4 linked regions of the Drosophila melanogaster genome follow. The protein of the gene in region 3 interacts with the protein of the main gene of each other region in a biochemical or structural test. Each region holds a gene or a part of one and is shown on either strand. Other genes may lie near its edges.

Region 1 (6,145 bases), on a different chromosome or scaffold from region 3:
CCACGCACAGGCATCTCTGAAGGTTGGAAAGCCCAGAGTATACACAGGGCGAAACTCTAAGAACTAACCCCATTCCAGCAGATACCATGAAAACCACATAGCTACACATGTATAAGCCGCCAAATATTCAAAGGTAATTTAACATTTCCTCTAATAATGCAATACTTTTTACCGTGCTCAATGGCGAAATAAAGACTCGCCCTCGCCTTGTGGAGAGTTTTTAATTAAAAGCAAATTTCATCTCAAATAATGCCGCTAAGCCAGCAACAACAATTAAGCAATTAATTTATTTCAGCTGTGTGGCACTTTGAATAGCGGGAAAAAATCCAAGCCGAGTAGTAAATGGCCCGGCAGGCGGCCAGATCGGATCAAACCTGTTGAATCGCGGTCCCAGAACAGAACAGTTCTGGGCAGTTCCCCTTCGAGAGAGAGTGCTTAGCCAAGCGGGTATACCAGATACTCGTCCCGTCCACTGACCGTATTTCACGAGGCAATGCAAATTGTCTGGCTACAGAGCGGGGTTAAAAGGGGTGGGCCCTAGGCAACCGAGGGATGCATTTGGATCGCCCTGCTGAATCACTTCAGCGGTGATTCATGCCGAGAATAAACGTAATTGTCTGTGGGCTCCATCGAAATTAGTTTCCAAGCTAATGTAAGCTTGCGAAACAATAAAATGGTGTGCAAGGAAAGATCAATGGAGGGTATGGCGGGTTATGCAAGCCAATTTTTCACCAGTCGTATAACTTGCTCAAAGCTATCCCCATACTACACGCTTTCATAACAGAGGGTCCACATATGTAGATATGTTTAAAACCAAACCTAACTAACCGATTGTACTTAAAGAAAGCGATTAAGGCTTCCATTATCAGCGTATAAAGAGAGAGATAACGGCCTTCCTAGACATGTCTTATCTGTCGCCCAAGTCTGGTCCCTCAATCCTTTTCCACTATCAGCGGTGCCAAAGTCAAAGAACTCCCATATCTATGCCAGATATATAATCTTAGATGCGGGGAACTGTTGCCGTTTCCCAAGAACACGCATTGATTGACGGTCTTTCCCATGCATGCCTAATGATCCTTCAAATGGGCCCTAATAACGACCAGCCCCCCTTGGGATCGGATCAGGTAACGCCCCGTCCCGGGGGTTACCCAAAAAGCGACACGCTCCCAAGACCCATCAGGCAGTTGACCAGTGGGTTACGTGTGCCATCGTGCACAGCAAAACTAGTGTATAAAGTTTATATTATCTAAGGTAGCGATATTTTCTAAAACGTAAAGAAACAATTACGTTGCAAACAATTCTCTCAGTGCAGGGCAACCCCAGCAACAATTATTCAACTTAAAGTCGGTGCAGCGGGGAAAACATGGAATCATTTCGGTTTCAGTTAGAAGTGTGCGCGAGCGTTCTCGAAAGGGGCGCTGGGGGGCGGGGCAGTCGGTGGGAGGTTGAGCGAATAAGAGAGTCGAGCATACGAGGCACGCTTTTCCGATCAAACCAGTTTGTCGTAATAGCTGGCATTTGGAATTAGTTACTGCCGATATATTGCTGCACTTGGAATGCGCCCAGATAGAAATTCCCGCACCACGCCCCTCGGCGACGATCCTCCCCTTTGAATAGAGAGTTGACTATTTTTAGCGGGCACCAGAACTTCATTAAAATACAATCAATTTGCAAGTGCAGCGCGGAGAAAATAACAAACAAGCACCAGCCACCCACTCTCTCTTTCTCCTCTCTCTCCCCCCCCCCCTCTCTCACACTCTTCCATACTCCGGTGTTCCCAAAGAGAGCGGAGAGATGGCATTTATGCTGAGCAGGCACAAGCAGAGAGGTGAAGATGGGACTGAAGAAGAAGCAGCCGCTGTGTCGGCAGAATGAAAACGAGGACGACCAAACTGCATTGTTGTCATATTTCGTAATACGCTGATGCAGCAGAGAAGCGAAGGGGTGGTGGGCGCAGAGGTGGAGCAGCAGGTCACGGCGGTGAGAGAGAGCGAGAGCGCAGGAGACTTGTTTTCAACACCAGCTTATCAGCGGGAGAGCGCGAGAAGAAAGAGCATAAGGGCAGAGCGCCAACGCAGCGGCGAAATGGAAATGTCAAGTTGGGACTGCGCTCTCCCTCGCTCTCGCTGCCAGCAGCGGCTGCGCTGTTCTCTTAACCATTTGGAGCCCCATTCAAATGTTCGATTCTTGCCATTCCATTTCGTCCGCTCATCCGTCCACATCCACTTGCGTTTTTGGTGCCCTGCGAGCGGGAGAGCAATGTGAAACGGGAGCACTACAAATACCGCCCACTACCACTACCAATTCCCATACTCCCATATTCCATGCTATTCCCAGCTCAGTTCGTGCCGTGTGATCAAAGCTTTCGGTAAGGCTTCGGCTCGGCTTTGTGTATCCACCTTAGCGGCTCTCTGTGGTGCTCGTTCTGCCTCTCTCTCTCTCTCGGTTTTGGGGCTCAGCTCAGGGACAACAAATGCGGTAAAATGGCTTCTGCGTCGACGTCGACATCCCTGCCGTTTCAGTTCTGATTGGAGGTTCGTGCGCGGCGTTTCCTCAGCTGATTTCTTTGCCTTTTGCCTTTTCGCAACCCGCTTTCGGCTCCGTGTTCGCCTCGGTTGCCAATTACGTGTAACCAACAACAAGAGAAGAAACAGAAACAACAACAAGTACTTTCGAGTGTTGCAAGCCTTCTTCCGCCGAAGAAACCGCAAAACGGATTACCAAGAATATTTGTAAAATTGGTAAGTGGTGAGATTATCCACGAAATAGTCTTCGAAAAAGGTCAAATCATCAAGTGTTCAAATTTAAACGACAAGTTTAAGTATTCTTATTACCTTCTTAAGACTTATCTTGAATCTCAGATGAGGATTTTATTGATTAAGATTCAAAAGTTCTTTAACTGGCTTTTGTTTCTGGAGTCCGTAGTGATTTTTTTAAAGATTTGAATGTTCACTGAATTATATTTTTGGATTAGAATCTAATCACTTTAAACAGGACATCGCAGGAGTCGAAAACAATTGATGACAAAATCAGCAGTTAATAGCTTTTGGATTACAGAATTATAGCAATAAAAGCCTGACAAATTGGCCAAGGGTCGTTTTGGAAATCTAGCAGTCTTAAAAGCCTAGCAGATACATTTTCTTCTAACAATTTCCCGCTCACACGCTCAGTACATGCACCAACACACGCCTATTGGAAAGACGCTTTTGTATCCAACTTATACAGATAGTGGTACAGCCACAGATACAAATGCACACATGCCGTATACGGCACATGGGGAGTAATGCCGCCACACTAGATACCAGATACTAGATACATAGATTCGTCCGCCGCTTATTTGTCGGTCGTGCTTCAGTGATCTCTGTCATTTGCAGTTGCCCATTTCCTTTTTTATCCCCCACTTCCACATCCAGTCGTCATTCGCCCGGCGCACCCCTTTTGATCACTCTTCCAGTTCCAGTGCCTTCTGGTGGCTTCCAGTGGCTGCAACACTTGCGGTGTTTTTCTGAATGAACCAATGGAGTGAATGTGTGAATGAGTAATCCATGTACGCAACATGTTTGCACTGCACAAATTATTTGGACTCAATGTATTGATTGTGTAACTCGGCTTTACGTTTATTTAATCGCAATAACTAAAGTGAGCTACAACTCTATACGTTGGTTACTATTCTTGGGAGGAAGGAAACCTGACAACCCTGGCCAAGGGGCAACTCTACACTTGCACCTGTGCTCCACGCTAAGCCACAAATTCAATTATGCAAATCAAGATCACAGCCCAAAAAACACAATCTTCGTCTCCGATCTGCATTTGTCTTTGTATGTTATGTTTATTTGTTACTTCTGTCGTTGTTTTTAATTCGCTAACCCACTTCACACAGTGGCAGCAACAACAAAAATCGTGAATTATACTTTGTATTGGGGCGAAAAGGAAACGAATGCCCAGTCTCAGATCACACATAAATTTTGCGGTTGTTTTGTTAATGAAACGACAAGAGCAGCACTATGCGCTCTTTACTATATATTTCCCGCTCTCCGCGAAAGCTTTTCTGTTTGTTTGCCCCACACACACAAAGACACTTGTGAACACCTTGCGCTCACTTAACATTATGCTCGAATTATAACTGTTGTTTAGCCGGCGATCGAAACGGTTAAAGCAGCAATGAAAGAGGGAAAAGAGAAAGAGGATGACATGACTAACAACGCAAACGCGATCTGAACATATGCATTGTTGTTTTCGCTCGTAGAAACCCATAAAAAGTCGAAACAGTAAAAGTCCAAGCGGCGTATACGCAATATCAGCGGGGGATAGGAAAAGGCAGAACTCTCTTATCTATTCTTCTCTCACTCTCCCTTAAGTACACAGGGCAAGAAATGTTAAAACATTTTTAACAAATAATGATTGAAATAATACAGGAAATTTTTCCGGTGCATTGGTTTAGTGCACGTGACTCTTTCACAAATTCTACTTAAATGTATCTGCCATCTTGCGCCGATTTCCTGCCCCTTTTTCGTATTCAACAATTATTCGGAACCAAATTTGCACAATACATTCCTTGATTATTGTTATTTAAAATGATTTTATATTTATTTATTTCATTCGCAAGTGCCAGCTGCCATGCTAAATAAATGTCTGTTGTGCGCGGTTTCCCCGTGTATATTCATGTGGTATACCTTTTCATCCACACGATACTCCTTTTCATATTCTGGGGCTTGTGGCATTACAAGTAAATGAAATTTTTCTTGAATGCATTTCTGATTTGAATCACCTTCGCGGAGAACGCCAGGTATTTCGCTTTCGGGGTTCTGCTGCCCCGATTGCCCATCCTGATAGCATACAAGTCGCGCGTGTACCCCATATATCTCCTTTTTTAATTAGCAATCTGCACAAAAACTCCGACTACTGCAAAAACCTAAATTCAAAAGTGGAACACAAACAAAAAACGCTCAAAAGTCAGCAAAAAAATGAGGAATCAACGAAAAATACAAGAAACAGAAAAGGTCAGTGACCAAAATATGTTTTGTAACTCAGGCAGAAATCTTCGCGAAAAGAGAATGGGCCGAAAAAAGCTAAGCAAAAGACGGAAACCAGAAGGCAGCAGTGGTAACCCTCCAGATATAGTTACAGTTGCCCAAAGATCATAAATTTTTACTTACATGGATATCAAAGATTCATAATAAATTTAAAGAACAATTACCAAATAAAACCTAATGTTATTTCTTAAGGATTTCTAGTAATTTCCGGACCCCAAACACGTAGTTAGGCTTATTTCACAATTTCCGCCTGCTGGCTGAAATTAAATATTTTTTTTACCGTTTTAAGCCTTTTGCAGGCCTTACAAGCATACATACGCATGCACTATAATTCAATTAACGACGTCGACGCCGCTGCCGGCGCAGCTCAATGTCCGCGTCAAGTATACGCCCTGTGGTGCCTGAAAAACTGAAGAACTCAAAAATCACTCACCCACACAATCGGCGGTGGATGTGTTCATCTGCCAGCCGTTTCCTATTTTGCATTCTTCAACGAATGGCAGCCACAAAAGCGAATTTCAAAAAGGAGAGCGGATGGCCAGGCATTTGACTTAAGGCTGCGAACTTATAGTACGCCGCTGTGTTTGTGCGGGAAAAGGCAACATCAGCGAAAAGAAATAAACACACAGAGGTAGACAGCACACTACGAAATGCAAATGAAATGTAATTGAAAGCAGCGCTGCCAACGCCTCTGCTACCCTTAAGCTTTGCCAGGGGACGGTGTCCGTTCCGTTTGTCCGTGTGTGGGACAACCGGAGGTTGGGGATACAAGGCGGGCACAGTGGAGCTGTGTTCAAATTCCACATTGCCCTTTTTGTTTTCATAATTGGACTTACAATCAATCTTGAAGGTTGTAGCTCAAAACAAATATACATTCCTGACAGTCCTTACAGAAATTCCGTTGAAATTCCATGTTGAGCTCAAAACGATAATATGACATATAAGCGTCCAAGAAGTACTGAGATTTATCATAACTATTATGCCAAATCCTCAAAAATCCTTTTTACCCAAAATCATCGCATATGCCCCACTGTACCGCTCGCAGGGAAGCAAAGAGCACATGACAATAAGAAAAAAGCTGTGTATATTTTAATCCTCTCAAAGAGGATTTT
Region 2 (8,479 bases), on a different chromosome or scaffold from region 3:
GGGCGTATACGCGATTTCCGGAAACTGCACGCTCTCTCCGTCTCCTTCGACGTGGCGGCAAGTCATCTTCAAGTTCAGAAGGCACGATGAATTTTATTTATAAATAAAAGTAACCTTAGTCGCCGTCTCAATAAGGCGTACTTGAAGTGCGCGTAGAAATTTCCGCACCACATTATTAACGTTGCCAGTCATGTCGGCGAAACCACAATTGCCAGCCAGCCAGCCAGCCAGCCAGCCAGCCACTCAGTCATCAGTTCGTGTATTGATGAAATGCCATATTGTAAGCCAAAATAAGTATACGCACCGCTGTCTCAGTTGCATAAACAACAACAACAACGACGATGCTGACCTCCACACGTTCGTTCTCACTACGCAATTGCCTAAATCAAATAAATACGCTAGAGCATCAGAAATCAACAATTACACATCGGACTTTCGCACGCAAGGCGAAAACTAATGATATATGTATGTATTTAAGAGCATGTCGTTCGTTGGTTCTGGAATATCTTAAAATGGATTTCTAATGTGATGAATTTTCTTAGCTTTTCTATTAGTTAACTTATTAGCAAATATATTGCAGAAAATTTTTAAGTAAAACATAGTAATTTTAGTTAATTTAACAATTAACAATTTAATTTCTCGTACTTCATATTTTATGTTAAATATTGAAGAGAAATATTTTCTGTAGGAAAATTTTCTGCAGTTCTACATTTTGATTTTGGCGCCACAAGACAGAAAAATTAGAGCATACTTTTTGGCGCCGTGAAGAAAACAAGTTGGCAGCCCCAATTTAGTAACGAGAAAAAGTGCATACTTTTCAACGTAAAAATTTAATTGGATGAGTAACATTTGGCGGGAAATGTAAAATTAATTTGGTTTTCATAAAGATCACTCCTTATTCCTCGGAATAAATAGAAAATTCATACCACCCGTACATTTAAATATAAAAACATTCATTTATATACTGATTGCTTTTGTGCTATTTTTATTTCGCATGTTATTTTGAAATACTTTTGTCTTTTGGAGCAAACAAACAAATTCAACTACATTGGCTCGAGGGGATTCTCTTTTTTGTTTTTTTTTTTGGGTAAGTCAGGGATTTGCCTACGACTAATATGTATATTTTAAATATAGCTTTCCACATCCGTTAACTTAACATTCTTAGGTCTTTTGTTGTTTGTTTTGTGTGTGTGTGTTTTTTTTTGTCCGCTAATTAATTAAGGTATTTGACTAACAATTAAAATGTAATCGAGGTACTATTAACTTAGACATTTGCTAATGCTCATAATTTGCGTATTGTGCATGCAATTTGACTATTTTGTGTGCGGGGCATCAATTGGACCCATCGTTTTTAGACGAGGCTAATGCTAAGGCCCATTGGTAATCGCAGGCCAGCGAGTTGGATTGAAGCTTGGTGGGAATTTTGGTGGCTGTTTCCTTGTTTGTGGTGGCTCTGCGGTTCCAGTGGCGCTTCCGCCTCCTGCACCACTTCCAGTTCCGCTCGGCCATCCACTTCTTCCTCCTCCTCCAGCTCCAGCTCCATTTCTTGTGCCTGCTGGTTTTCCTTGTTCTCCTCGTGGGTAACCTGATAGCGGGCAGTTGGCAGGACTTCGGATATGGCGGTATCGAATTCCAGCAGTATCTCATCATCATCGAGGTCCCGCGTCCAGCGCGGCGCCTCTTTGAGCGGACTCATGATCTGCGGGAGTTTCGAGCAGGCGGGGTTTGATTCTGCTGAATATGCGGCGGGTTCTTCCCGACTGAGTGTGGTTCCCAGTCGACGGAACATGGCCACTACTTTGCCATCCACACTGGGCTGCGGGAATCTTTGGTAAGTGGGCGTGGATTGTGTATTGAGCACTGGTGTGGGTGTAGCTGTAGCTGCCACATCCTTAACCAGTCGCTCCACTGGTTTCCGGCGCGGCGCCACACACTCCACCTTGCAGATCGCATTGCTCCTCTTCTGGCCCTGCGGCCTAAGACAGACGAACACCGACTGCTGATTGCGCTTCTTGGGACTCCGCCGCAGACTCTCCACACAACACTGGCGCAGCACTCGGCTCATCCGGCTGACGGAGGCACTGCGTCTGCTGGCTCTTCGCTTCGAATAGACTATGGGTGCGGGTGTGGGATTAATTGGAACTTGGGGCTGCAGTTGGGGCTGCGATTGGGGCTGCACTCGCACCGTGGGTCGAACCATCGCCACCGGACGGAGCTTCGTCCTTTCCTGCTGCAGCACACTGTTGCCCATGTGCGAGGGACTTTGGCTCTGGCTTTCGGCCTCATTGCTGTTGACCGCCTGCAGGGAGTGCCAGTTGATCAGCCAGTTGTTGCAGCTAAAGCAGAGGAATTTGTCCTCGTTCAGGGGCTGAAAGTAGAGATATATAGGGAATAGATGAGTACGGGTAGTAGAAGTAGTTTTATCTAGACTATAAAGTTATTGCTAATCATAATATACTAATCATAACTATTCAAACTCATTTGGTCCTTCAATTAATTTAATGGCTGAGTAATAACCCATTTTATAAATTGCTTACTGCCTTAGACTGATATGTAGCATTCCAAGTAAAGGATAAAAAGCCATTAGAAAGAACCGAAGGCGGTTACATTGTAACTTGCAGAGCCACGAAGGCCAATCATTTATTGATTATAGCCATGAAACCGTTAAGGTCATCAGGAACCAACCTTAGAATGAAAATTGACCCAAATCCGATTGCGTGACTCGCAATCTGAAGCCAGGCATAACCCACAGAATAAACCTCTAGAAAATTACGATACGCCTATGCACTTAGTGATCGCTCGCGACACCCGACCACTACCACCACCACTACCACTAATGAGCATCCAGCCAGAGGTGCAAAAAAAAAAAAAAGACCATAACAATTCCGAAAAACAACTGCCAGACGACCCGGGCATATTAATTACCCAGCCAGACCTCAGCATTCCTCGGGTATCAATAATTTCGTGCACCTGCCAGCAAAAACTAAGCGCCCAGCGGTAGCAGCTGGCCCAAAAGGTACGGAAAACCAGTAACCAGTAACAAGCCAAAGGGACATTCGCTACTTAGTTCGAGCCTCGAAGGAAACTCGTTTTCGGCCAAGAGCCACGCGCCCTATCCATATATATAAAAAAAAAAAACACATAATGCCGAAGTGGAACCGAAGCGGGAACTGGGTTAAAACCCCAACTATGACGACCATTAGGCACGCGCATGCGCGACAGCTGCGCCGAGAAATTAGATAAAGGTGATCGGTACGAGGGTCGGGGAACCGAAAGGATCGACCAGGATGGCGATAGAGGAGGAGGAGGTGTGCAGGGTAGAAAGGATCAGGAGCGATTGTGGCTGGCTGTTTACCTTTGGGTTCGGCGCTGAAAAGGTGTGCTCCAAGGGCCATGTGTAAACGGTATAATAATGCAAATTGCAGGCCAGGTGCAAAGCAGACAGAAAGCCACACAAACACACACACACACACGCACACGCACGCACGCCGATCGCAGATGCACTGCGAGAAAAAGGTGTGCACTCCTAAGATCAGTTAAATATGGGCACATGAAAAATATGTTTAAAAGTACTTCTATTAGTTTGAAAACAACTCTTCGTGCTTCTGTTAATATAGCTGCATATTTACTCAATTTGTAATGTTCCTTTTTTCTAAGTGCATAAGAGTGGGAGGTGGGGGGGCGCAGTCTGATAAGGTAATTGCAACTGGACTTTATGGCACTGTCATTCAGAACTCGAGCTTATAGAGAACCCGGCGAGGGTGTTGTTCCTGTGGGGGAGATCGGTTGCCAGGCTACGATCACGGCAGGTGGTGTATGCCCACCGTATAGGGTTTCGCAAAAACGGTTCAAACGAAATTCTAACGACGTCCGGAGGGGGTGAATATATATATATTCTATGTGCATAGAGGGTGAGCTTCTAGTGTCTGATATTGCGGGGTTAGCTGAGGGTTTTTGTTATTATGAAATCGCATTGCGTGCGTCTCGAGCATTTCGTAATTAAATTGATTGCTATACACACAATACTAGTTAAGCACAATGCTTCAATTAATCTAAGACCGAAACATATATTCCGAAAATATGTGGAAATACAATCTACCAATATCTACCCAATATTTTAACAACCTATGTTAGCAACCACTTAATATTGTTTATGTTTTTATAGGACTTCGTTTTAAGAACTCTCATTCTGACTTTGTAATCCAATTGAACGGAAACCTTAGTAAAAACTATTTCCCAAAAATACCAAACTAAACGAAGACCTCTAAATGGAAATCTTGTCTAGCTTGGCACTTCTGGGACTTCGGCTGAAAATTCGGGCATTTGAAATCACCTTTGTAAACGCTATTCCAAGGGTAGATCCTTTGTTTGGATTTGCGCAGCTTAAGAAACCGGAATTTCTATCCAAAGATATTTGGCATTCTCCAAGGGTTCAACCACCAATGCTGCTGGGGAAAATCCCTTCGTCTCACAAACAATAAACTGTGAACTCGCATCCAGGTATCCGAGTTCAATAGTTGATATGCGAAAAAACTCACTCGAGACCATGAAGAGCTGATAAAGAAGCAGCAGCAGCAGCAGCAGAGGATCCAGAAACCCCGATGGGTTGGATTTTGAGTGCCGACCGGCAAATACAGCTGTCGTTTTGGGATATGGAAACGAAGAGAACGAACACACCGGGTTCGTTCACTGCCCGCAGAAATTGGAGCAATCTCGGCAAATCCACAGCACATCTGCCCTTTCGAGCAGGTTTATGTGTGCGCCGCCGGTACAGGTAGTCATGGGTAGTCATTTGAGTGAGGAGGAGTGCCTGTAATCCGAGACCCGAAACTCACTTCCACAGAAAAACAAGCCCAGGATCTTCAGCCAGGATCGATTTCCCTGGCCATCTTCCGCTGTCGCATTTCCCACACACACACACACCGCACTGCTCGCATATTAGAACAAGCTGTTAAAAATTATGGGAAAGGAATCGAACTAAGTGGCGGCTCTGTGGCACTGGCACATATGCAAAGTGTCCAATTACCAAAGGTTGTCGGGGAAATGCATCATCTGCTCGGCGACAGGATATGCAGTTTAAAGGGCACAGGAAAAGGTGGGCATACCACAAAACTAATAGGGATAAAGGATTTTGAAATTTTCATTAAGAAAGTAGTTTGTGATAGAACTACTAATTCCGAGACCTTAGTTCTTTGCAAATAATCACTTAAAAATATTAGAAAACTGCGCTCGAAATCAATCATCAAATAGCTTGCCACTCTTTTTTTCCCAGTGGGCTGCTGTGAGGGAGTTACCTGTACCTGCCTATAGAAGTGCCACCCATTTTCCCATTTTCCGCCCAGCGAAGTTCATCCCCTTTTAACCCAAAAAAAAAAACACACACGGATACACGCGCAGAGGGAAAACTTTGTCCGAAGGACGTTCCTTCGTTGCATGACTCATCCGCCGAGTTGCCCCAATATCGATTTTTATACGTTCCCCGCCTAACTGAGTTTTTATTTTTTTTGCTCTAAGTTGGGAAAAATCCATACCTGAAACTTGAATTTCGCCTGGATTAGCTGAACGATATTGGGTCCGGAGCGGGGCTCGTAGATATTGATCGTCTGGTTGGTGTGGCAGCCGCAGATGAGGCAGGTGCGTTTCAGGTATTCCGAGGAGGCGGCGGGTGCGGCAACGGCCGCCGAAGGATTCGCCTGCTGCTGCTGATTGGTAGACATCCTGGCGATTTTTCCCAGCCTCTGACGTCACCAAAGGTCGCACTAACTTCTGCCGATATTCGACTTTCGCACTCGTATTGTATTTGTATTTTCACGATTTTTTGGGGTGCCGCGAAAATGTGGCAAACAACAAATGCCAAGCGGCGAACGCGTGCGACAGAGCGAGAGAGCGGGGAGAGCGAGAGCGGGACAGCGAGCTACGGAGCGGCACGTCCTTCGCGTTGCACGCACAAATTTCGAATGAGCCTTGCTTGTCCTCATCGCATTCTGGGCACCACTTTCAAAATTTGTGCCTGCGGGCTGCCACATCTGGCAAATGACATGCGAGAGTGGCGAGCGTTGTCGGATCGATGGGAAAAATAAGAGATAAAGGATAAGCTAGACACTAATGAAATAAAAGTCATGCAAAATATATCATATTTTCAAATCATATATATATTTTCAAATATAAAACAAAATTTAAAAATATTTATTTATTTTTGTATAATTTTTATACTCAAATGCAATTTTTTGGGCTCAGATTAAGCCTGGTGTTTTTGAAAAATGAAAACATGTACCATATAACCCAATATTGCAGTGAGAGAAAAAGCAACCATAAGGGTGACATAGCCGAAACAAAACAAACAGGCGGCATATGTTCACATTTAAGGGCGCCAAAAGGGATGTTGACTGCTAGGATGACTAGTGCGAATTCTGAAACAGGAAACGGATAACAAAAGGCAGTGCCAGTGGAAATATGCAGCAGAAGTTTGACAATTTAACCACGAATAAAATTCTGATGACTGATATACTTTTATGCCAAATAAATATTTATAAAAAATAAGGAATAACAATGTTAATGATTCTTAACCTGCTGATAAACCTTATTTTATAATTTTATTGCCTTGCAAGGCGAATTGCCAAATTCATTCAGCGATCAGAGCCTCGCAAATTTTATGAATGAATCGAAAAGCACCGACAACTGTCTCCGAATATTTTGACAACTTGACCTATCTGAACTTTCGACACTCAAGCTCGTCCCTCGCGTCCAGTCCTTTGGATTTGCTTAAGCCGCCGAAGGAATCGGTGGCAGCTGCCATTGAGCGACAAACGCCGAATTTAATGTGGACGGCCTCCTCGACGGGCACTTATCATTATGGAGGACCCGCCGGCTCAACACAGAGCCCATATCATCCGCGGCACGAATAGCTTGCAGCATGTGCGCATTGTGGGCTCATCAACAGGCTGCCGAGTGCAGAGTCTGGTGCTCCCCCCAAACCCGTCGATCCTCCGCAACGGCGACGAAGCACCGACAGCAACGGCAGCTGCTCCAAAAACAAAAAAAAAAAAAACAAAAACACAAAAGGTGCGTTTCGATTTTTCGTTTTTTACCCATTTTTATGCGGCATTCGGGCAGTTCAATCATATGTTCTCTGTGTTGTTGCTCATTTTGAGCCGGTGGTGTTGCAGCTTGCAACCGGATTTCTTCGTGGCGACAGATGTTTCTTCTCCTTTTTTCTTTCGTCCGAACCTTCTTCGTCCGCTCCTCCGATTTGCGACGATCTTCTCAGATCGCAGACACTGGGTTAACTGGCGCTGCTCGCCGCTACTTTTACTACGCATCTTCGACGATAGTAAACAATGGAGTAAGGAGCAGGGAGTAAGGAGTAGGCAGTAGGGAGTAAGGAGTAAGTATGGGGCACGGAGGTTCCAAGCGCAATCGAGGCCTCTGATGAATGAATACATGAATGGAATCAGGCGAGGGAGTTGCGTGGCGAACGAATAATGTATCCGGAACTGGACCCTCGATCGATCGATTTCCGCGACATATGCGTATCAAATTTTCATGTAGATCTCTGGGATCCCAAGAGAGGAAGTGCCCAAGGTGCCAGGATGAGATATCGAGGATAAGAATGGGATAACGAAGTTTTTTTTGGAGATTTATGGTTAAGCATTTAAATATTTATTATCAAGATCTCTATTGTGATCCTATCAATATGTTTAAACAAATGGTTTTGGTGCATTTGAAAAAATTCGGTTTTTTGTATTCCCATTTTTAAATCACTGCTCTTATTTATTTTACTTCGACTTTGACTACGCAATTAAACACTATTAAAGCTAAACTACACTACGCAAAACTAAAGGGTACCGTCTAAAAACAATTATTACGCCATTGTTTGTTTATTAATTGTACATCAAATTTTTTTAATCTCTTATGCAATTTGACTTTAAGAGGAAATATATTTATTTTAAACATACCGTTGCCTTTAAGTGTCACACCAGCGACATCTATGGAGTCACAGCGCCAGTCGCTACCAAACAGTTTTCAAGAAATTACTGTAGGTGGCGCCTAACATTCAAAGCAAGGCGAATTGCGGCGGCGAAAAATGAATTCAATCGGTCTAGCATAATTTTGGTCAGTAATTGAATTTCTTTTGTTCGCATTCAGCGAAAACCATCCACAAGATCTATTATTTAGAATCCTGAATATCCAATAAATATTGAAATATGTAAAAGATATATCGTTGTAAGCGATTAAATATATTTTAATGTTATATCCAATACAATAGTATTACTAATTCATCTTCATCAAAATATATAATTCGTTCAGCTGTCTTACTATTTCTGTACTATGTGCAATAATATACCTTTATATGCTTCCAAGTTCTTAAAATGTAATGTAAAAAAAAAATGAAAAAAATATGTAAAAACACCACTCCAGTGGTGAGTGCACTCACAATTTGCCAACAAATAATCCGCTTGGGAAAATAAGTTTTATTTTC
Region 3 (8,590 bases):
CTGTGCTGTTGGGACTGCAACAAAAGAAAACGCAGAGTCAGCCGCAATCGCCTAGTAAGGGGCCACCATCGCCAACGCCTCTCCCACCAGTTCGGCAGGACATGGCTCCACCACCACCTCCTAAAATGTCAAAGAAGAAGCAACGTCAAGCCCTGGATCAGCAAACACAAAATCAACAACGGCAGCAGCAACAGCAACAGCAACGTCTGCAGCAGCAACATCAAAACCAACAGCAACGCTTGCAGCAGCAGCAAAAGCAACAGCAGCAAAGTCTACAACAGCAACACCAGCAACAACGTGTGCAACAGCAACGTATGCAACAACAGCAGCAGCATCAGCAGCAAGACAACAACCAATATCAGCAGAATCTACGACGTCCACAGATCGACCAGATGCCCTACAATAATCTCCAGCAACGATCACGATCCGATCTTCAGCTGCGCCATACTCTCAATCCGGAGTGTGACCGTCTGTTGAGTGAAATGGATCACAATCAACCTGGCAGCATCAACAAGGACGCCAACAAACCGTCCATGTTCTGGTCACGCGAATCGCTAAAGTACCTCGATGATCTTTTCAAGATGACCTCCAACACAGAGACCGTAGAGCGGCTGAAACGAGTGCTACAGCGATCGCAGCGTGGTCTGCTGTCGCACAACGATTACCGAGCGGTCATTCGACTGCATTCCCTGATGTGCAACTGAGGATTAGCCAGGGTCATGGAATTTATTTCCTGGTGGGTCACCTTCATTTTGTTTAACAAATGCCAACAGATTTCACAATGGGTATCTTAAAGATATTACCCAAAAACCGAATAAATACATAACTGACTATTTTGAAAAAAAAACTCGATTTTATGATTTTATTAGGAATGAAGAGGCTCCAAATAACTGTGTAAATGTGTTTAGGATTTGAGTTGAATTTGTTATTTAATTTTTAAGTGTAAGTGTAGAAATAGTAACAAAATAATGACATCAAAGAACCGAATTTCAAATAAAAAACGGGACTCATTTTCTACTTCGTTTGCAATAAGTTACTATTTATTTATTTCAAACTCAAGAATGTCACACTACAAATTATAAAATTAATGTTATACAGTTTCGTTGTCGGCATTTTATACTTTTTCCTTGGCTTTCATGTTACATGGTCAGTTGTCTTAGAGTAGAGTTGTCCTTGGTTCTATGCAGCGGTAGTCTGTTGCTGCTCCTGGGTGGTCGTGGACTGCGCCGAAGAGATCTCCCCAGACTTTTCGTTGACTCCCAGCCAGGGACAGCGCTTCTGCAGCTCCAAGCGGTATCTGGGGTGACTTATGGCATAGACGAATGGGTCTATGCACGCCACCAGTTTGCAGGTGCAGGCCGGGATCATCGTGGCTCCTGGTGTAAGCAGACTCTTATCCCCGAATGCCCCGATCAGCGACATTACGCCGTAGGGCGTCCACGACACGAAGAACAGGAAGCAGATGGTGATAGCCGCCTTCGCAATCCGTATCTCCGCCGTCTCCTTGCTCTTGTCCACATTGGAGCGCAGCGACTCCACGTTCATTTTCTTGGCCTGCTCCCGTAGGGCCTTTTCGTGGCTGAAGACATGGCCCACGATCTGCGAGTAGTAGTAAAGGATCATCAGCGTGGGACACACGAAGCTGAAAAAGAAGATGGTGCCCACAAACAACCGGGTGTCAAAGTTGTCCGAAAGATAGTCGAAGGAGCAGGACGTGAGGTAGCCCTCTGGAAATGCATAAAAGTGAAGAAGATTAATGGGATTTTTGGTATTAGGATATTTATTTACTTCATATTCGTAAAACGCAATTTTACTCTTTCGTAAATTTGTTTCTTCGAATTTCCCGATCCAAACTAAGTTCTTAAACATTCCCGCCAATGATGTGACACAAGGTCAAGGTATCACCAATCAATATTTTTATTTAATTTTTTGTATTGCCTATATTATTTGATTGGAAATACTATAAATCATAAAAAAGTATTTATTAATGAATTATTTTAAAAATTAGGCTTTAGTTGTCAATAAGAGTAACAGACTACATTATTAACTTTGATCCTTTAAAAATTATGCGCCTGATTCGATTTGTATTATTTCAAAACTGATGTTTTCCTGTTATTAAATTAATTTGACAAACGTGGCAAGGCTGTTAAGTAATCGATGACAGCAATTGATAGCTACCAGGAGGCACTGCGATGTTGCCGATTGCGTGTAATCGACTATCTGGAATCGAATAGACGACAATTGGGGTTCCATCTCTGCAACCGACGCGGACATTAGAAGAAACTCAGTATAGTAAAGTAAATTAATTAATTAACCAGCTAAAGGCAGACATCACGCCCAAAGTACATGGAGAATGCCGAAAAAGACTGAATTCCACACCGCGCAAGGGCAAGTGCAATAAACGCCGACTGCGACGATCAAAGAACGCAATATAGAAAAAGTGAGACACACGAAAAAAACCCATTTCGCTGCCTGTGTGTAAATGCAAATGGTTTATTTTTGTGCAGCAACAACAACAACACAACATCAGCAGCAGCAGCAACACAGAGGCAGAAAAGGCGAAAATAACTAGTAAAGCTAAATATGAATAAATGTGTATGTGTGCGGGTCGCGTTAAAGAAAATTAGATAAAAAGCCAAATGAAATTAGCTCACGCCTGAATTTCGAGTTTCGGTTCGGTGCAAGGTGAACGAAAAGGCGAAAAGCAATCAAAACAGTTTTTCCATTTTCCCAGTGTGCGTGTGCAGTAGCAAAACCACCTGCATTGGTTATATATATATATGCGGTTAAAAAAATAACAAATTGCAACGTAAAAAACGGAACTTGCACCTAGGATATATACACACACATGCTGGCTGTATGCGTGTGTGTGTGTGCATGGCCGTAAAGGCTGACTGACTGATAAAAAAGGAAACAAAAAAATAACAAGAAAATAAAATATACACATACACACACACACCAACGCAGCGGGGCACCAATACCTCGGCACAATTTCTTGGAGGCAGCCTGCCATGTAAGTTTACATATCAACGATTATGTATTTCGCAGTTGTTGTTGCTGTTTAAACAGCAGCCTAGTCGCACTTAATGGCGGCATAAATTAAAGAAAGATAGTCGCATTTCGCTTTGCTCCGCAACTTACGTTTTCTATTTTACCATTTTGCAACTCATGAAAGCAGAAGCTAAGTTAATTATATTCATGGCTATGACTTTTGTGGCAATTACCATTTTTACCCCGTATGAACGTTTCCAACGGTACGCAACGTAAACGAACTGTTAATTATGTGTGTGCGATCTGTGTCTGTGTTGTAAGTGTGTGAGTTTCCCTCCCCGCGGCTGCCATCCCCTACCGCCACCCACCCCCTACACATCCTCGTTGCATTTGTTACGTTACGCACTCTTCATTACGATATTACGTTTATGCGGGCGATGGTACGAATTTCATAATGGCAAATGTTCAAATAATTTTTCCAATATATAGGGTAAAGTATTAAACATTTGTATGTTCATGCGTTTCATGTGTTTTTGTTTTGGGTTAATAAGGAAACATATTATTTATTTTTTAGGTTTGAGTTTGTTTTCGAATATAAACAATATTACTGAACTCCTTTCACACAAAATTTTGATAGCAATCATATAGCAAATATATTCCCGTTAGGAAAGAGAACAAGTTTTGTTTGTACATCAAAGCTAAACAATTACGAAAACTTTATATTATTATATTGATATTTATCTTATAAACGCACCAAAGCACCCACAGCATATTGTTCACACTAATGTGTGCCCATTCTGTCCAAAGTGGACAAACCCGTGAAACCGAACCACACCCATTACAACCAGCACGACACCCACCATCGCACAATCCCGCCATGGGTCGACGTCCCTAATGGCCGTCCATCAGCGTCGGCTCCGTCAGCTCCGCCTGATAAGAGCCAACATATTTGCGCCGTTCCACACGTGCCGCCAAGAGGCTTTTGGGCTTGGGCTCGGAGTTGGAATCGGAATCGGGCCTTCATTTCGATCGGAGACGTGACGGCGACCTCGGGCTGTGTCTTTGCTTTTCGCAGACCAACTCCGGTTCGATACGTTCCGCTTTAAGTAATTGCTTAAATGCAATTCCCATACACGCAAATGCGTGTGTTTTCTTTTTTCGGTAATTACAACAATTGGGAATCCACGGCAAGGTTAAGGCCAGGAATGATAAATCGCTTTGGCTTTTCTATTGGGCGGCACGAAAAACGAACTACCTAGTAGTAGTGATTACGCGAAATAAGTTTTAAATTAATAAGGCTCAAATTAAATTATTACAAATGGATAGTAGTTTTGCTGGGCAACATTTTTTATAGCAATCGAGTAGATTTTGCTTACACAGTTTGCATTCATTTCATTTCTATTACTTCATGGAAAAATATTTTTGCCTATTACTCATGTCCCAGTGGGCACAATAGTTTGGAATGAACATTCAAATCAATAGTATGCTCCGAACTTAAGCCGCAAAATCGATAGAAAGCTCATAACATATGTTCAAATTTAAACCAGCATTTATGCAGTGTGTTATACTGTGATTTTTTTTGTTGGTTGATATATGTTATTTTTGGATTAACTAAGCCTAATCGAAACAAACTATTTTTGTTAAGATATCTGTATGGTTTTGTAGGTTATTGTTTTTTGGAGTTTCTTATCACTGAACGAACAAAATTACAAAAAAAAGAAAAAAAAATTATACATATGCTATGACTAAATTGACCGCATTACTCACTGACCTGTGATTGTATCTCATTTTAGACAGAAGCACAAGAAAGCCATTGCCGAAGCCACCGGGAGGGCGAAGAACCTGAACCTGGCGAGAATTGCAGGGACCCAGAAGAATTGTAGACACATTCGTGCCGTTGCGAGAACCCTTCCAATGTCCAATAAAATCAACCCGAAGCGCCGCGAACCGACAGCAGCAGCAGCAGGAGCCGGTGCCACGGGAGTGGCCACCAACACGAGCACCTCGACCGGATCCTCCAGTGCCGGCAACACGTCCTCGGCCAACACATCCTCGTCGTCCAGCTCCTCGCTGTCGTCCGCCGGTGGCGGTGATGCGGGCATGTCCGCCGACTTGACCTCGCTGTTTGAATGCCCCGTGTGCTTTGACTATGTGCTACCGCCGATCCTGCAGTGCTCCAGCGGGCACCTGGTGTGCGTGTCCTGTCGCTCCAAGCTCACCTGCTGCCCCACCTGCCGCGGTCCGCTGGCGAATATCCGCAACCTGGCGATGGAGAAGGTTGCCTCGAACGTCAAGTTCCCGTGCAAGCACTCCGGCTACGGATGCACCGCCTCGCTGGTTTACACGGAAAAGACAGAACACGAGGAGACGTGCGAGTGCCGGCCCTACCTGTGTCCGTGCCCGGGCGCCAGCTGTAAGTGGCAGGGCCCGCTTGACCTAGTCATGCAGCATCTGATGATGTCGCACAAGAGCATCACAACGCTGCAGGGCGAGGACATCGTGTTCCTGGCCACCGACATCAACCTGCCCGGCGCCGTCGATTGGGTAATGATGCAGTCCTGCTTCGGCCACCATTTTATGCTCGTGCTGGAGAAGCAGGAGAAGTACGACGGACACCAGCAGTTCTTTGCCATCGTTCAGCTGATCGGGTCGCGCAAGGAAGCGGAGAACTTTGTCTATCGCCTGGAGTTGAACGGAAACCGACGCCGGCTCACCTGGGAGGCAATGCCGCGTTCGATCCACGAGGGCGTCGCTTCCGCAATTCACAACTCGGACTGCCTGGTGTTCGACACGTCGATTGCGCAATTGTTCGCCGACAATGGCAACCTGGGCATTAACGTGACCATATCTCTGGTCTAAACGCACTGTCAATTCGTCGGGTTCTTTCATTTCTTGTGTTTACTATTCCGATACAAATACATATATAGTTTATAGCCCTCTGTTCGCATCAGGCGTCTAACTCGTGGACAGATTGTGAGTCTGGAGATTAAGAAGAAAGAGTTTTGCAGAGTTGTTTTATAAAAATGATTCTCTATTCTAAGAGCCACTTACATGCATATGTATATATATCTATGGAAATATCAGGCTGCTTCGATTATCACATTCGGCACGATATCGCAGTTTTCTTTGATTTTTAAGCTAAGACACTCACAATTTTCCAAAGCGAAATGGAAAGCGTATTAAAGCAATTGCTAAGTGATGTTCAGTGTTTATTGCACACGTTCGTTAAACCTGTAAAACCGCGTTTAAAATTCGTATTTTCATTTTTAGTTTGCACATGACTGTGTGTAAATCTCACTCGTTTGCAGAAAAATGCCAAATATTTTTGGTGAGATTTCGCAGATTTGTATAACACACTTTCCTGTCGAATGCGAAAATCGTGGCTGACCTGTATGTTTGTATGTTTAATCGGTTCGATTGGTACTCTAGTTCTAGGACATGATTTTTCAGTTACCGCACACACAATACTATATATTTCAAAGTTTCAGTGTTACCCGTTTTGTTAGTTCATGGGGTTCTGCTTTAGTTTAATTTAGTTCGTAAGGTCCACACACCTGGAGCAGAGCTGCCTGCGCGTGCCCACGTGCCCACCACCTACTACAGTGAACGCTAGGAACACACAGACCCACTCACCAAAACGAGGAGAACAGCAAGAAAGGCGAGGAGGTCACTCATCCACTCGAACATGTACTGCAAAGTCTAGTTTAGTTAATGTAAATTATTTTATACAATACTTGTAAATGGTAATAAGTAAAACGAACAGTTTAACGAAATTAACAAACCTAATAACCCACAAAGAAAAGTAATATTTGATAGCGATAATCTGTAATAACTCGAGAGTTGTTTGAAAGTTGCAGCCTAAACGAAACTGCGACCCGCAATTTTGTTCATGCCAAACCATCACAAAATAACAAAAACACACTAAAAAAAAAAGAAAACATTTTTTTTCGCAATGCTAAAAAGACAGTTGCCCCTTCCCATTTCCCCCCAAGTCCCCCCAAACATATAAAGCAATGTTAATGTTTAAATTTCTATCTAGTTAAGACGATCTCCCCGGTTTGGCTCATGTTTTGGTTTTGATTTCCATTCGGCCAACGTTTCCCAATCGAAAACGGAAGAAAAATTAATGATTTTAAGCATCTGCACCGTAATTAGCTTTTAATGCGCCGATTTACCGCGCCACTACCATATGAGATCACTCACACAGACACAAAACTACAAAACTGAAATAAACATGATTAGTAAAAGTAAACAATGCTCGTTAATTATTGAAATTAATCTGGGGGAAGCTGAATTACAAAGAAGAGCTACGCCACTTTATAAACTTGTCGATTTAAATCAGTTATCTGTTTAATTTGGATTATCTTTGAGATACTTGGGTTACTTCTAATGCGTTTTAAAACGTTGCAATAATAGATGGCACAAGTTTTTAGTGGTGCACCGCCGAAGCATCTTAAAGATTTAGCTGGATTGGTATCTTACTAGGATACTTAGGCCAATTTCAAAAATAAATTTTTAAGCTGATTTTAAAATGATTTAAAGCAAGTAGGCTCCGAAGTAAAAGTAGCTCATTATACTTTTAGCTTCGTTGTATTGTGGTACAGATTGTATTTTCGAATTCTTTTAAGCAAAATTTCAGTGTTCAGAAAAAGTAAAAAAAAAGTAAAACCATCGGCACTCTCATTCTTCAGAATCGTTTGGTTGTTAGGTCTTAGGATTAATAGCTTGCGCATTGATTGTTGGCTGAAGCACAGATGTCTGTTCGCAACTCACGCCCCCAGTTATCGTGGCCGGAGCGGGTAAGTCCGCAAAGGACTATTGACACTCCAACGGCATCCGGAGAAATGTTGACTCGTCGTCAATCGGCACCAGCGTTGGTCGTGCCGCCGGAGGAGACCACGCACGTTGTGGTGGTCAAGCGGCAATCCCCGGACGCAGCCGCTGCCGGAGAACTGGTGCCGTCTAGGCGGAAGGACTCGGTGGCTGTGCAGTCGGGAATTGTGGCCACTGGGCCATTGGACACAACACGCAGTGGTGCAAGAGACGATTTTCTAATGGCTTTGCTCGAGTGCCCGGTGTGCTTTGGCTACATAATGCCGCCAATTATGCAGTGCCCGCGTGGCCACCTCATCTGCTCCACCTGCCGCTCAAAGTTGACCATTTGCCCCGTCTGCCGGGTGTTCATGACCAACATCCGCAGCCTGGCAATGGAGAAGGTGGCCTCCAAGCTGATCTTTCCCTGCAAGCATTCGCATTTCGGCTGCAGAGCGCGGCTCTCTTACGCAGAGAAGACCAAGCACGAGGAGGATTGCGAATGCCGTCCGTACTTCTGCCCGTATCCGGATGACAAGTGCTCCTGGCAGGGACCGTTGAGGGACGTATACCAGCACCTGATGAGCTCCCACGAGAACGTGATCACCATGGAGGGCAACGACATCATCTTTTTGGCCACCAATGTGAATCTGGAGGGTGCCCTCGACTGGACAATGGTGCAGTCCTGCCATGGGCGGCACTTCCTCCTCTCGCTGGAGAAGATCAATTTGGGAGAGGACTGTCAGCAGTACTTCACCGCCTGTCGGATGATCGGCTCCATGAAGGA
Region 4 (6,785 bases), on a different chromosome or scaffold from region 3:
GTCTTATGCGGGTATAAGGGAGATTCACAGTAAAACAACAGTGATTCGTCTGCGGAAGCTTCGCTTTCCTTTCCACCCCGCGATTGATCGATCGGAGAGACGACTTCACACCCTTCAGCTCTCTCCATGTCGCGGATTTTCTCCGATTCACATAGGCGTCAATTAGTACCAGTCACCGATCCGCAGCGGAACCTCTGCTCTCCTATATGTTGTCCACAAACCAGAAACTAGTAACCGAGCATACAGCAAACAACGAGCTGTGATAATAATACCATACAGTGAAGCGTCGGACTCTTGCGCACACACATATGCACGCTTCGAAGTACTACAGTAAGTCATCAAACTATCAAAATTGTAAGTATTTATTAATACTGAGAGGCAACCGATTCACATTGATATAACTATTTGCTGTGTTGTACCCATATATATAACTATATATATAACTTTCTCATATCTTTCTAATGTAACGACTACGAAAACATTTACATAGGAATGGAGAAGAAAAGTAGCCAATATTTTGTAATTCATCTGGCAGAGAGCTTACTGTTCCTGCGTTTTTGTACCGCCCCACGTTTTTGTCAGTGCGCTGCTCCTGGTAATTGATCAAGTAATGGCGCTGATTCCGCCCCTATGGAAAATCTCTTGTTGCGACCCGCTCAATTGGATTTAATGCTGGTTACCCAAGAGATCTGCACTTACAGTTCCTTATATCCGATATAAAGACGGCCAGGCCTCTCATGCCATCCCCCCGCACCGGCGCCATGGTAGTTAGCTTGTTAATTTTCGCTGGTTTTATGCAAACTGGGGGCGCAAGAAAATCGTCAATGGATGGCGGCCGAGTCTCGAGGCGTTCTTATCGCTCGAACTCGACGTCGGACCCTAAGATATATAGTTGCTCTCCGCTCTGGTTCTGCAAAGCTCTTTTTACTTCGATTGGATCTCGGCCGTTCCTTGGGACCTGAAAGGGGAAACGATACTCTATTTATTGTGGGTTGTGGGAATGGGAAAACTTAGTATTATGATTACGTTTTAGTATTTGTGTTAACAAACGTATATTATTCAAACAAAAGGTATTTTGGATAACAATTTGTATTTAGCCAGGGAGTAGCTTATTGTGCATGCCAACACATTGATACAGCTTCTATTTTGAAAGTCCGTATTGCAGTTTTACTTTTGATAACGAAAACGCCACAAAATATGTATGCACCACACATTTCACTGAGCATCAAGCGCTGATAACGATTTATATGTATAAAAAATCCAATGTTTAATAAACTCAGAACTTTTAAACGGTAAATAGTGGACTACGTGATTGATTTTCCGGCCAGTGCACCCAATGGCTGGCGAACTTTGACATTTTCTGGTGGAAGTAGAGTGTACCCCCGCATTTTTGGCAACCGATTTATTTTCAACTTGGCAGCGTTTTGCCCGTTGATAAAGATTCTGTGACCTCGCTCGCCCACTTTTTATCGCCTGGCGAAGTCGATGTGCACTTGGGCATTATTATTTGGATTTGCGCGACCACCGGCTTTTGTTTCTGTAGTATACTTTTTACTTTGCTTTCCGTTTCGTTTTATTTTCTGTTTTTCACTGCGCTCTTCGGTTCTCTTCTTTCTTTGCTTTCATGTCACGTCACTTTTTTCACCGCTGGATGACGAGGGCGTTTTGCCCAAAAAAAAAAGCACCGAAGAAGCCTCCAAAAACATTAATGGGCGTATGTTAGCTGTTCTTTTTTTTTGAGCTTACTTTTCCGATTTTTTTTACTCGCCAGCGGACAAAATCGGTTAGCGTTGCGGAATTTCTGTGGCGGAGCAGAGAGAGTAATCTCTGACTTCTGAAGTTGGCTTCGCTTGGAATCGGAATCCGGGGTGTTGGCTGCGGAATGTTTGACCCTGCGTGTTGCACTTTATGGAACTCCAACTCGCTGGAGCTTCGCCTCGCTGATTTGCCGCTAATTTGTTTGTTAACTATTACCAAGTGCAGGGCAATTCACTAAAATGAAAATTTCTATTGATTTTTCTTCGCTCTCGCTGCCTAAGAGTGGAGCCATCTAGCGGGCGCGGGTGGAACGATTGGTGTGACCAGTAGAGCGTTGGGTTGAAATACAATGATTACTTCGAGGGATGGGTACACAGGGATGGACGAAGAGAGACGACAATTCGCTTTAAGAATTTTTTACCTTTTGCTCCAAGCAGAAATCCAAAAATATCTTCTTAATTGTTTTTATGGCTAATAAATTTCCGTTCTATCCTTTAAGGTAACGCTTGGTGCAATACAAAAATATGACTCAAATTTGATTAAGTTGTTGTCAAAACTTGTGACGTCACAAAACACAAGGCTGCGCAACCTCTCGCAGCGCACACCTTGAGATTACTCCGCCATTTTTTTGCGCGTTTCAGAAACGCGTTTTCGATCCCTCGGTTTTATTTGTGGAAAAAATATGTGAAGTGCTCTTGCGGCAAGCAGCAAACTGGCAGAATTGAAAACACAGGACCGACCAGATCGATCCAAGTACCAGGAGTAGCACCGGATACCGTGGCTTGCGCCGAAGTGATAAGCGTGCCGAATGCAGACGCATGTGTTACGCAGCACAGTTCCGATTTTCGCACCGTAAAAACATAATTGGCATTGGAGATAGGAGTGGATTTTGGAGTGCGCTAGTAGTAGGAGAAGGAGCCAACCGCGTTCCGTCATGAGTTTTTCCAGCGACGAGGTGAACTTTCTGGTTTACCGATACCTGCAGGAGTCGGGTGAGTAAAACCCTCCAATCGCAAGATAACAGCCCGCCCTAATCTCATGCAATCCCGTTTTCTAGGCTTTCTGCACTCGGCCTACGTGTTTGGCATTGAGTCACACATCTCGCAAAGTAATATCAATGGCGCATTGGTTCCACCTGCCGCTTTGCTCACCATCCTGCAGAAGGGTCTTCTGTACACTGAAGTGGAGTGGAGCGTAGGCGAAGACGGCGAGGTGGCGCGACCCATTGAAGGACTCTCTCTAATAGACGCTGTCATGCCGGAGGTGAAGCCACTCAAGCCCATTGTGAAAACAGAGCCGGGAAAACCCGGGGCAGTCGACTCTTCTGCCCCTGCCGGTGGCAACCAGAACAACAATGCCAAGCCTGAGATAAAAATAGAACCGGGTACCGGAGTGGCGGGCTCAGCAGGTGGAAACAAAATTGCTGGCAGCACCACGGGCACAAGCACACCAACCGATCAGTCGGCAAGCGAGGTAGACTCCAGTGGAAATGCGGCAAATAATGCTGGCGGCACATACGCCGGAAACAATGGAGCTGGAGGGAACCAGGCCAGTACTGGAGGATCTAATAGCACAAGCACACCAGCTGGTGGAGATTTGGCAGCACCTGGGGCAAGTCAAAAGAAATCCCAGAACTCGAATGAAGCGGGAAGCTCATCTAGTGGCAATGCAGGCAATGCAAATGCTACCAGTACCGATGATGCAGCCTCCTCAACATCCACAAATGGCAATAGCAGCACTTCCAGCAGCGTAGAACAACCTACAAGCGGGCTGACGCCCGCTGGTGGAACTGTATCAACCTCCAATCCGGACGCAGCAGCATCGGGCGGAGCTTCGACTGCAACAGGATCAAAGGCGCCAAGTGGAGCGGTTACGATTCGCGTAGGAGCCCAAGGAAACAACGTGCAGTCTGGTTCGTCCAATGCTCAAAGCTCTGCTCCCAGTGGAACCATCTCCTCGTCTACCAGCGGAGGTGCTGGGACTCCCGCAGCTCTTGTTCCCATGGACATTGACGAGAACATCGAAATACCCGAATCCAAGGCTCGTGTATTACGCGGCCACGAAAGCGAGGTGTTTATCTGCGCATGGAATCCTAGCCGGGATTTACTGGCAAGCGGTTCGGGAGACAGCACTGCTAGGATATGGGACATGTCCGATGCAAACACTAACTCCAACCAGTTGGTGCTGCGCCACTGCATCCAGAAAGGCGGCGCTGAGGTGCCTAGCAACAAGGACGTCACCTCTCTGGACTGGAATGTAAGTCGAAGATCTTGGCACTTAAGCCTTGCAAAGTTTGATTTCTGATCCTTACTTAATCTATTCTCGTTTTTGCAGTGCGATGGTTCCTTGCTCGCCACCGGCAGCTACGATGGTTACGCCCGAATTTGGAAAACCGACGGTCGACTTGCTTCTACTTTGGGACAACACAAGGGTCCGATCTTTGCTCTGAAGTGGAACAAGTGCGGCAACTACATCCTCTCGGCTGGCGTGGACAAGACGACGATCATCTGGGACGCATCCACGGGCCAATGCACCCAGCAATTTGCCTTTCACAGTGCTCCAGCCTTGGATGTGGACTGGCAGACAAACCAGGCCTTTGCCTCTTGCAGTACGGATCAGCGGATACATGTGTGCCGGTTGGGTGTAAATGAACCCATCAAGACCTTTAAAGGACACACAAACGAGGTGAATGCAATCAAGTGGTGTCCGCAGGGCCAACTGCTGGCGTCCTGCTCTGATGACATGACCCTCAAGATCTGGAGCATGAACCGAGATCGTTGCTGCCACGATCTGCAGGCTCACTCAAAGGAGATCTATACGATAAAATGGTCGCCCACGGGGCCGGGAACCAATAATCCAAACACAAACCTGATCCTCGCATCCGCTTCGTTCGATTCCACGGTAAGACTGTGGGACGTGGAGAGGGGCAGCTGTATCCACACGCTCACCAAGCACACAGAGCCAGTCTATTCGGTGGCCTTCAGTCCGGATGGAAAGCATTTGGCCTCCGGCAGCTTCGACAAGTGCGTACACATTTGGAGCACGCAAACGGGACAGCTAGTGCACAGTTACAAGGGCACGGGCGGAATCTTTGAGGTGTGCTGGAACTCCAAGGGCACTAAGGTGGGTGCCAGTGCCTCCGACGGTAGCGTTTTCGTGTTGGACCTGCGAAAGTTCTGATTGCCGGAGCAGCCACAACTGGATTTCGTGTATTGAGCCAACGCTTAAAATAGTCAAGATTCCTTTTCCAGCTCATTATTTGGTAAAAATGAAATCGGTAGTTTTTCACTTTCTTACGGAACGAGAAGTTTTTACTTTTGATTCAAAAATTGCATTTAACTATATTTTTTAAAGAAGTGAAATATGATCAGTTACAATTCTACCAACATAAGTCGATTTGGATCTGGAGTCCGGACCTTAGGTAACTCCTTTCTTAGCTATCCCGCCCTGCAATCGTATTTGTAATTGCTTTAAATTCTAATTAGTTCTTTAAGGTATACCTCTTGAGATGAGATCCTCCCGCTTTTGTCCACGTCTATTTCGTACGCTTAGTTTCGAGTCACAAAATATCGATATGCACCTGGGATTTTTGGGGGCTTCAACATGGTTGTTGTTCTCTTCAGATCAGCGGGATGCGACTCGCCTCATTTTAATCTTAATCATAAGCTCCATGTTTCTAAGGTCGTCCCTTTTTATACGAAAATCGTTTAGTATAACTTTGCATTTTGTTATTGTATCGATCAAAGATGCCAGCCAACTCCCCGCCCTCCCCACCAAAAGTCCTTTACCCAATTCCACAGTTGTCCTCCAAAAAAGGGATGCCAAGAGATCAGATCAGACCGATTCACGCATACATTCAGAACAGTGTAACTGCAGTCCCACGTAGTCAGTAATCGAACGTAATTATTAAGAACACGAGATTGGCGGAAACACAAGAACATCAGCAAAAATACATTAAAGATAAAAATTAATCTGTTTTCGTTTTGGGCCTGGGTGTTTTTTGTATTTTAGCATTTTAAAATTTAATACTAAAGTACTTAAATTAAACTTTATTCTTTGTAAATATAGATACTCCTGAACTTAATTTTATTTTCATTTGTTGCTAAAACTCCATGACACTTTCCAGATGGCGTTGCTTAAAGAAGCGGCACTCCTCGCGAATTATTTCGCCGGATTTTGTTGTGCCCTTAAAGAACTTTGTGAGCTTGGTGCCGGCGTACTTGGGCTTCTCGGAATCCGGCTCGTCGAACTCCATGTCATAGGCCTTGTCCGCCAGTGCGTTTTCCGCGGTGGACCAACTGAAGCGCACAAGTCGTGGAAATCCAAACACTAGATCGATGTACTCGGTCAGAAATCTTCTTGTGACCGGATCTCCCGGATATCCACTGCCGAACTCGTTGTCCTTAATGACCAAGCCCTCGGGGAAGCTCCACACCTTGAGGGCATGATCACGGGTAACTTTGGCGCATATACTAGCAGCAGAGACTATTGGATAGGTGGAGTCAGCTTTTTTCGCCACGGTGATTTTAAAGCTGGGGAAACGTTTGAGCAACTTCTCCTGGTACTTCTCCGGCGGACCCACCGTATCCACATAAACCTCGGCTATATTGACGCCCGCATCGATCGCCTGTTGGATAAGGCCCATGGCCGAGTCCATGGAAACTTCGTTCAGGGAGCACTTCGACCGCCGGTACATGCTGGTGCTGATCGTGTTCGGCGATATGATCTCCACGGCCCAGCCAACGCAACTGGTCGCATATTCCTTGGTGTTGATATCGTTAAATATGATATCACGTTTCCCCTCGGTTAGTTGTTTGGAATCGGCGCATCCCAGGTCCTCTAAAGCCTTGTTACTTTCCAGTGGACAGTAGGAGATCCCATATACCATAGGTCCCAGGACGGGACCACGCCCTGCTTCGTCCACGCCCAGCATGCACGGCTTATCCTTGCAAATATCCGGAACATCGCTGAGGTAAACCGTGTTGCGGCTATTCTCCTTGCCGGCTATAAATGGACCCAGGGCCTTC

Evidence for each region.
Region 1: the proteins of sina (region 3) and ttk form a complex in vitro, tested with the Drosophila melanogaster proteins (one study listed by BioGRID).
Region 2: the proteins of sina (region 3) and phyl form a complex in vitro, tested with the Drosophila melanogaster proteins (3 studies listed by BioGRID, with this or other methods).
Region 4: the proteins of sina (region 3) and ebi form a complex in vitro, tested with the Drosophila melanogaster proteins (2 studies listed by BioGRID).

What each region holds. Positions count from the first base shown.
Region 1 is NT_033777.3:31,711,529-31,717,673, forward strand, and holds the start of ttk (tramtrack), read left to right. Parts: upstream 1-2,338; 5' UTR 2,339-2,741; intron 2,742-6,145. UniProt on the Drosophila melanogaster protein: Binds to a number of sites in the transcriptional regulatory region of ftz. Isoform beta is required to repress inappropriate segmentation gene transcription and repress genes incompatible with development of photoreceptor cell fates.
Region 2 is NT_033778.4:14,426,377-14,434,855, forward strand, and holds phyl (phyllopod), read right to left. Parts: upstream 5,962-8,479; 5' UTR 5,718-5,961; coding exon 5,532-5,717; intron 2,369-5,531; coding exon 1,352-2,368; 3' UTR 960-1,351; downstream 1-959. UniProt on the Drosophila melanogaster protein: Essential adapter component of E3 ubiquitin ligase complexes; involved in R7 photoreceptor cell differentiation, embryonic nervous system, external sensory organ development and specification of particular muscles.
Region 3 is NT_037436.4:16,851,513-16,860,102, forward strand, and holds sina (seven in absentia), read left to right. Parts: upstream 1-2,238; 5' UTR 2,239-3,013; intron 3,014-4,406; exon of another isoform or gene 4,407-4,472; intron 4,473-4,784; 5' UTR 4,785-4,905; coding exon 4,906-5,850; 3' UTR 5,851-7,200; downstream 7,201-8,590. Other genes in the region: Zcchc7 (zinc finger CCHC-type containing 7), read left to right, coding at 1-704; Rh4 (rhodopsin 4), read right to left, coding at 1,180-1,727; sinah (sina homologue), read left to right, coding at 7,746-8,590. UniProt on the Drosophila melanogaster protein: E3 ubiquitin-protein ligase that is required for specification of R7 photoreceptor cell fate in the eye by mediating the ubiquitination and subsequent proteasomal degradation of Tramtrack (ttk).
Region 4 is NT_033779.5:412,697-419,481, forward strand, and holds ebi (ebi), read left to right. Parts: upstream 1-2,370; 5' UTR 2,371-2,692; coding exon 2,693-2,750; intron 2,751-2,815; coding exon 2,816-4,014; intron 4,015-4,092; coding exon 4,093-4,938; 3' UTR 4,939-5,840; downstream 5,841-6,785. Other genes in the region: AP-2alpha (adaptor protein complex 2, alpha subunit), read right to left, coding at 29-128; CG13690 (uncharacterized protein), read right to left, coding at 5,861-6,785.